Linked DNA regions of Oryctolagus cuniculus. The protein of the gene in region 2 purifies or fractionates together with the protein of the main gene of each other region. This does not show direct contact. Links are inferred from orthologs where the notes say so. Each region holds a gene or a part of one and is shown on either strand. Other genes may lie near its edges. The genes, in order: RPL18A and NOP2.

The links.
Region 1: the proteins of NOP2 (region 2) and RPL18A purify together in Homo sapiens (affinity purification with mass spectrometry; 3 studies listed by BioGRID and IntAct, counting the BioPlex papers as one, with this or other methods). This does not show direct contact. The link is inferred for Oryctolagus cuniculus from reciprocal best matches to the Homo sapiens genes NOP2 and RPL18A.

The regions. Positions count from the first base shown.
Region 1 is NC_091447.1:65,465,192-65,468,723, reverse strand, and holds RPL18A (large ribosomal subunit protein eL20), read right to left. Parts: upstream 2,300-3,532; 5' UTR 2,098-2,299; coding exon 2,080-2,097; intron 1,712-2,079; coding exon 1,532-1,711; intron 1,376-1,531; coding exon 1,246-1,375; intron 1,192-1,245; exon of another isoform or gene 1,061-1,191; intron 990-1,060; coding exon 787-989; 3' UTR 757-786; downstream 1-756.
Region 2 is NC_091440.1:102,934,493-102,938,945, reverse strand, and holds the start of NOP2 (28S rRNA (cytosine(4447)-C(5))-methyltransferase), read right to left. Parts: upstream 2,908-4,453; 5' UTR 2,762-2,907; exon of another isoform or gene 2,611-2,761; intron 2,528-2,610; 5' UTR 2,524-2,527; coding exon 2,418-2,523; intron 991-2,417; coding exon 945-990; intron 778-944; coding exon 689-777; intron 563-688; coding exon 318-562; intron 1-317. UniProt on the Homo sapiens protein: S-adenosyl-L-methionine-dependent methyltransferase that specifically methylates the C(5) position of cytosine 4447 in 28S rRNA. Required for efficient rRNA processing and 60S ribosomal subunit biogenesis.

The DNA.
Region 1 (3,532 bases), on a different chromosome or scaffold from region 2:
TGCTGCCCCTGCGGAGCAGCCATCCCGCTGAGCGCGATCTTGGGGGTCAAGCAAGCCCAGCGCAGGCCCCCCCCCACCCTTCAAGGGGCCAGAGGACACCCCCAGCCGGAGGCAGCGGCGCGTGGGACCCCGGCCCCAGCCCTGTGCCAACTCTGGGGTGGAAACTCTGGTTTGCGTCCTGTGCCCCGCAGCTCCCGGGAAAACCCCCGCCCCGCCCCCCGAGCGCAGGGACCGCACCCGGACGCCCTAGCTCCGCTTGGCACGGAGCCACCCCTGAGGCCCAGAGGGTGAGCGGTCACCGACTTCCTGTTGTGTTCACGGCCCACGGGGGCTGCAGGAGCGCAGGCCATCGGGCCCACCGCCGGGGCAGAGCGAGACCCCGACTCCACGGGACGTGAGGGGGGAGGACCCCCAGCTACCCTCGGACTGGGTCGCCCCGCGCTCAGGGCGGGTGCGCAGGCGCTGCCCGGAGTCTGGTGCCCCCAGCGCCTCTCGGGCTTCGGTGCCCACCTCCTCCCCAGGACACTGCGGGGGCCCCAAGTTGCGTCCCAAGAGCCAGGCTGAGGCCTGGGCGAGTGGATGACGGCGCAGGTCCCATGGAGACCCGGATGGAGCTCCTGGCTCATCAGCCCCCCGCGGTCCGAGCCCCTCAGGCCCCAGGGGGCGGCACCCGCGATGTCCCCGACCCGCCCGGCTCGGCGCCTGGACTCCCCCCAGCCCCGCACGGCGCAGGCGCACACGGAGGCGGAGGCGGGCCAGGTTGCGGGCGTTTATTGGGGCGCGGGCCTAGAAGAAGGTGTTGGGCCTCTTGGCGGAGAAGCGCGGCTTGTGCTGGCGCCGCAGCACGCGGTGCGGGAGCGGGAAGCGGATGCGCGAGTCGTGGAACTGCTTCACGGCCGGCCGCCGGCAGCGCGCCGCCGCCATCTCCTCCACCTTCATCACCTGGATCGAGTGCGCGCGCGCGCGGTGCCGGGCGCCCATGTCGCGGTCTGCGGGGCGGGTGGGGCGGTGAGGGCGGGGCGGCCGGCACCGCAGGGACCACCCCCGCCCGCCCCGCCGCGCGTGTGCGGCCTCCGCATTCACTCCCGGGGGCACCCGCAGCCCCCCGGAGGCGACGAGGCCCCGCTGCTGTGCGCACCCCGCTTGGAGCCGCGGCCACGGCGCGCGGCGGCTCTGGGGTTCGGGTGCGCGCCCCCCTCCCCGCGCGCGCCCCCCTCCCCGCGCGCGCCCCCCGTCCCCGCTTACAGCACTGCGTGACGGCGCCGGCCGTGGTGAGGTCGCGGTACTCGCGGTACATGTTGTGCGTGCCGCTGCGGGAGTCGTAGCGCAGCCAGATGCCGAAGTTCTTCACGCGCAGCGGCGACTTCTCGAACACCTGCGGCCGGCCGGGCGGGTGAGGGTCCGGGCCGCCCCCCGCCGCCCCGCCCCGGACCCCCCGCTCCGCCCCGGCCGCCCCCGGAGCCCCCCGCGCCGCCCCGGCCCGTCCCCACCCCCGCCGCCCCCCGGCCACGCCGCCCGGCCCCCGGCGCACCTGCCCGCAGTACACGATCTCGCCCGACGACTTCTTCATCTTCTTCAGCTGCGACACGAAGTACCAGAAGCGCGACTTGGCCACCACATGGTTGGGCGCGAAGATGCGCATGCGGTAGAGCGGCGGCGCGGGGCTCTTGGGCGTGGGCAGGCAGCGGCCCACCACCTTGTACTCCCGCAGCTGCGGGGACGCGCGCGTCAGCCGGGGCCGGCGACCCCCGCGTCAATCCCCGGCCCGCCCCCAGCCCCGGGCAGGAGGTCGCCACATCGCGCGGCGCGGCGCCCCGCCCGGGCCCGCTCCCCACGCGGCACCCGCGACCACCCCAGCCCCCAGTCCCGGGCAGGAGGTCGCAACCCCGCGCGGCGCCCCGCCCGGCCCGCACCCGCTCCCCACGCGGCGCCCGCCGCCATGTTGGCCGCTCCCGAGCGCGGCCATCGGGGTCCCGGGCGGCGGCGCGCTCCAGCTGCGGGGCCCCGTCCGCTCCCCGCGCCCCCCACCAGGGCCCGCGCCGCGCCCCCCGCCCCGACGCCGCGCCGCGGCCGCCTTACTGTGCCCGAAGCCTTCATGGCGCTCCGTCCGCGATGGCCGCCACCCTCGAAAAGGAAGTCCTTTCCTTCGCGCAGCCGCTCTCCACGGGTTCGCCGGCGGAAGTCCCGCCGCCTCGCCGCGACGCGCCCATTGGTTCCTTGTCCTGGCGCTCACGGAGCCTTGTTTTGTCATTGGCTCCAGTTCCGCCTGCCACCCACTACCCCGCCTCTCTTCGCAGCCGGACTACACTTCCCAGGAGGTAGCGCGGCAATGCGCACGTATTCCGGCGCGGACGTAACGGAGCTTCCGATTTCCGAGCACGCCGGGAGTTGTAGGCAGCGGACGGCTTTGGTAGGGAGTGAATGAGCAGCTGGAGCAGTCTCTGTCTTCCACATAAATGTTTTTCCAGGGGTTAAGTTTTTATTAACCAAGCAAGCCACGCTTATTCTGAGTGGAAGCAGCTGCCCCGGTTTCCTTGCCCCTGCCTCGGCGGGCAGGGGTATCCACGGGGTGGGGAGGGTTGTCCCAGGGAGAGGCTGTCTGCTCGCGGGAGCTGGGGGCCTGCTCAGATCTGCCGGGGCGAATCTGGGGGCGGTCGCCGTCCCCCGGCCGTGAGGTGCATCAGGGCGGTGGCGGCGGCCCGGCTTAGGGGGGGGGCGCCACCTCTCCCAGGAGGCCCCCACCTCCGGGCTGTGCCCCCGGGACCTCAGCGGACGGCCACATGCACCCTTTCCCCGCGCACGGGGGTCCTCACCCTGACCGCAGGCCATGGCGTTGGGGGGGGGGTCCTAACCGTGACCACAGGGCATGGCCGCAGGGGAGCCGCCCCCCGCCCCCACGGGGCGCCCGGCTTCTCCTCGCCCAGGGCCCCCGTGGAGCGGAGGTGGGGGCGGAGAGACGCCGCCCCCGCAGACCAGGACCTCCCGCCCACCCGTGCACAGCCCGGGAGCAGCCGTGTCGGCCTGCCTCCAGCCCTCCCCCAGGCCTGGAGTCCCGGATCCGCCCGCGTCGCCCCACGCACCGGCTGCTCGGCCTCTCGCCTTCCAAATAAATTTTAAAAAATCCTCAAACGCCGAGCAGCTTGAGAATTGATTTCCACGTCATAGAAGGCCCGCCTTTAAATAATGCAATCCACGGTTTCTAAAAAATTTATTTATTTACTTACTTAAAGGCAGAGTTAGAGAGAGAGAGATTCCACCTGCTGGTCACGCCCCAAGAGCTCACAGCAGCCAGGCCTGGGCCAGGCCAAAGCCAGGAGCCAGGAGCTCCATCCGGGTCTCCCCCGTGGCAGCTGACCCCCCAGTGCTGGCTCCAGGCTTCCCGGAGCCCCGCAATCCTGTTGTGCGGGAATTGGCGGGCGGGTGTCGGCGGAGAGCCACGCCCCCGGAGCGTTACCGCGAGCGGCCGCCAGGTGGCAGCAGAGCCCGTTTCCCCCGGGCAGGGCCGGCACGGGGGCCTGGGTTGCACATCCCT
Region 2 (4,453 bases):
TGGGAAACCCAGACAGAGTCCCAGGCTCCTGGCTTTGGCCTGGACCAGGCCTGGCTATTGCAGCCATTTGGGGAATGAACCAGCAAACAGAAGATCAATCTTTCTGTCTCCCCATCACACTCCCCCATGCTCTTTCAAATAAATCAATCTTTAAAAAAAAGAAAAAATTTGCAAGTGCACTGAGTGAGGAGGGAAAGCGGCAGGGAAACAGAGATGGAACAATCCCCTTCCTCAGTCAGGCGTACGCAGCCACAAGGGTCTACAAAGGAACTGAAAGGCAAGGATCCTTTACGAACACCCAGGGAGGCAACTCTCACCTCTTCATCTTCATCCTCTCCCTCGGAGCCGGAGTCGGCCCCGTAGTCGTCTATGACATCAGCATCACTGTCCTCTGAGTCCCAGAGGCCCCCCTGGTTCTCCACACCATCCTCTTCAGACTCTTCCTCCTCCTCTTCCTCATCGCTGCTGTGGGCTGGAGCTGGCCGCTTCTTGCCCCGAGCAGTGTCAAATGAAGGGGGGGCTCCCTTCTTAGCAGGAGTCTGCACGGCTCCTGCAGAGACCCCTGAGAGTTTGAAAGAACCTAAGACTCAGCCGCCTGCCCCACACCCCTGGGGCCTGCACTCGCTGCCCTTCGGAAATGCTCAGTGAGTTCCCTGGAACCCAGCCCCCACCTCCTGTGTTCACTGACCTTTGGGGAGCTTTCCGGGCAAGGACTTGGCCCCAGGAGGCTTATTTGTCTTGGGAGTTTCAGCAGAGCTCAACCTCCTCTTGGCTGCCCTGGAAAAACACAGCAGTGAGGTAGAAGGGACACACCTCCGGGCTCTGCCACATCCCCCAGGCGGAAACGCAGGAGTCCACGGTCAGCACTCTCCATTGACCCATCCCACCAGGCTTAAGACGAGCAGGACCCATTCAATCTTGGCAAATCTGGACCCCACACTTACCTCTTTCGGGCACGACTGGATAGTCTCTTGGAATTTTCGTCATCAGCTGAAATAAAAGAAGAGGCAGAAGAGATTATAGGAGAAGTGAAAACGAGAATTGGGAGCAGAAATAAAAGTGGGAAGAGAATTAGTATAGCCCTTAAAAACGAAGAGGTTGTTAACTTTTTTTTAGAAAGAATTTACTGTTTGAAAGGTGGAGTTACAGAGATTAAGAGAAAGAGACAATGTGCACGCAATTTTCTATCCACTGGTTCACTCCCCAAATGGCCACAATGGCCAGGGCTGGCCCAGACCAAAGCCAGGAGCTAGGACCTCCATCCAGGTTTCTCCGGTGAGTTACAGGGGCCCAAGCCTTTGGGCCACCTTCCACTGCTTTCTTAGGCACATTAGCAGGGAGCCGGACCGGAAGTGGAGCAGTTGGGTCTTGAAGTGGGATGCGCCGGTACAGCAAGCAGCAGCATCACCCACTGAGCCATAACAGCCCGGAGACTGAAGCTCTCACCACAGCTCCTCACTAGGGACTGAGCCCGGCACAGCTGCACTGCAGGCTGAGACGCTTGCACCCCACACTGGAGAGTCGGGGTTCAAGTCCTTGCTCTGCCCCCATCTAGGCTTCCTGCTAATGACACATCTAGAAGGCAGCAGGTCTCTGTCACCCATGTAGGAGACCTTGATTAAGTTCCTGGCTTCCAGCTTTGGCCTTAGCTGCAGCCACTGCAAGAATTTGGGGTGGGGGGTAAACCAGTAGGCAGAAGCAAGATCTCTCTCTGCTTCTCAAATATCTTTAAAAAGATGTAAGGAGACTGTTCAACAACTAAATCCAAAGTGGGCCTCCCCGCAGGCTTCAAGGAACAGCCTCATCACCAGTCTGACCACATGGATTCTCAAGTTTTCTTCCGCCCTTTCTTTCCCAAGTTCAATGCACTTCACTACTGCTGTTTTTCATGCATTCTCCAAGAAATAAAAGGTTTAAACATCACCCCAGTCATTTCATAACTGCAGGTGAGTCACTTAAAACTCTCAACATCCATCGCCTTCCCGGTGCCTCTCTTCCAGGACTTAGGAGGATGAAGCCCAGAGTTGCGCAGAGCACCTGGGACTTGCTAACAAGTCAATAAATCGCATCTTTCAGCCAATGCCCGACACCCGCTCCCCAGGCAGTCTCCCCCCCCACCTTCCTTTCTCAGCTCCATCCCTCCCACGGGGCAGCTCCGACTGGCCCGCCCCTTCCCCAACTTCCACTTGCTAATAGGTAACCTGCTTTCCAAAACCCAGATTCACGACAACTGTCACAACCCCTCGCTCGGCTACCCGAGTCCCCTCGCGTTCCACGCGCCCACGACAGCCTTTCGCTAGCACTCACCTCCCCGTCACTCACACACAGAGGGATCCACGGACGCTAAAACGGGGAAGCGGTTAACACGCAGAACGGCGAACAGACTAGACTGGGGGTTGGGGGGCCCACGCCCTTACCTGCAGGCAAGAAACGGAGGAGCTCCGTCTCCGCACCCTTCTGCTTTCGGGCCTTTCGGCCCGGCCCGCGCTTCGCCTTCTTTGTAGGGTCCAACTTGCGCCCCATGGTGCTGGAAAGAAGAGAAACGGGGAGGAGGTGGCGCTGCGAATATTGCAACGCGGATACGGGTTTCTATCCCGCTGGGAAACGTACCCCCGGCAGCCCGCTCGAGGCCGGCTAAGCCGCCCTGGCGTCCCGAGGGCCGGGGCCCGCGCTCCTCTCCCCACGCCCCGGTCCCGGTCCCGGTCGGCGGGCACCTGTTGCCTTCCGCCTCCCTCCAGGGCCACCCGCAGCCTCCGCTCACCCGAAAGCGGGCTCAGCGCGAGCACGGCGCTCCACGTGCACCCGGGGAACCCTCGCAGGCCTCGGTGCGCGGAAACGGCCCGCGCAGGCGCACGGGAAGCACCGCCCGCGGCCCCGCCTCTTCCGGTCCCTCCGGGCCCGGCCGCGCCGCCGGCTGAGGGCTGCCGGAGATGGAGGTACAACTGTTCTCGGCGTGCCTGACCGTCCCTCGCGGCCAGCTTCAGTCGGAAACGCTGGTGCGCGAATGCCGTCCCATGCTCTCGACTCCGGCACAACGGGTGCCCCAGGTCCCGCCTCCAGATAGTGAAATTCCCTGCCGCCTCTCCCGCATTCCCAAGCCTGTGGCTAGGAAACCCGCTTCCTGGGTGGCCCGAGCCCTGATCGCCCCGTCAGTCCACCCGACCCAGTGCCCATCCGGAGGGCGAGGGAGGCATCTTGCATCCTCGTCTCACACAGCTCAATCTCTGGGCTGCTATTATGGCTCATTGGGTCAAGCTGCAGCCTGTGCGCCGGCATCCCATGAGTTCCACTGCAAACCAGCACCGAGGTGCTGCTCAAACGTTCGGAACGGCTCCCCGCAAGCGCCTCGCCGGTTTTTGCTCGCCGCCCTACGAGGCGGCTGGTTTTTTTTTTTTTTTTTTTGACAGAGTGGACAGTGAGAGAGAGAGAAAGGTCTTCCTTTGCCGTTGGTTCACCCTCCAATGGCCGCCGCGGCCAGTGCGCTGCGGCCGGCGCACCGCGCTGATCCGATGGCAGGAGCCAGGTACTTATCCTGGTCTCCCATGGGGTGCAGGGCCCAAGCACTTGGGCCATCCTCCACTGCACTCCCGGGCCACAGCAGAGAGCTGGCCTGGAAGAGGGGCAACCGGGACAGAATCAGGCGCCCCGACCGGCAGTCTGAAGCCCGAAGTGGACTTCGGCGCAGCCACAGCGCCACCAGGCGGCGGTGCCGGGGACTGCGCGTCCGGAGGCACCCCGGGACGGTGCTGGGGGCTCCGGTCTCTTCTGGGAGGGGATGGGGGGATGGCTCGAAGCAGCCCTTAAATATCCGATGAGTTTCAGGGGGGCTCCTGCCTTTCACCTTCACCCAGCTGCGCCTACACCCACACTGAACCAGAGGACTAAAATACAAGGAAACTTTTATTTTCAATTTTGATCAAGAAATTTGTTGCGGTTTTTTATGCTTTTGGTTCTTTTTCCTTTTTTTTTTTTTCCACTTTATTTCACTCTAGCCGCACAGTGGCTGGAGCCGCTGGGTTCCTGGTATTAAAAAGATGCCAACAGAGGTAGCTGTGTCTCACCCAGGGGCCCGGCCCACTCTTGAATACCCCAAAAAGGAGAAAACACAAAATAAACCAGCAAAATAAAACCAAAAGGAGGAAGAAATTCAGATCATTTTCTTCAAGCCCGGCAGGAACCCACAACAGTTTGTGTGTAACAGACGTTACAGTGGGGGAAGCCAGGGTCCAGAAGGCCAGCCCGCCAGCTCCCTGCAGATGGCGCCGGCGCTACTGCTGCTGCTGCCCGAATCTCCAGCAGGAAGGGCACCACTGCCCCGCACTCCCTCCCCTCCCCAGTGCACGGGGGCTGTTCCTTTACAACATGGAAGATGGGCAGGAGGAAGGCGAGGGTCTCTCGGGCCCCCGGGGGAGAAGCCGGGACAAGAGGAAGTGAGGAAGGTCACTGCTCAGCG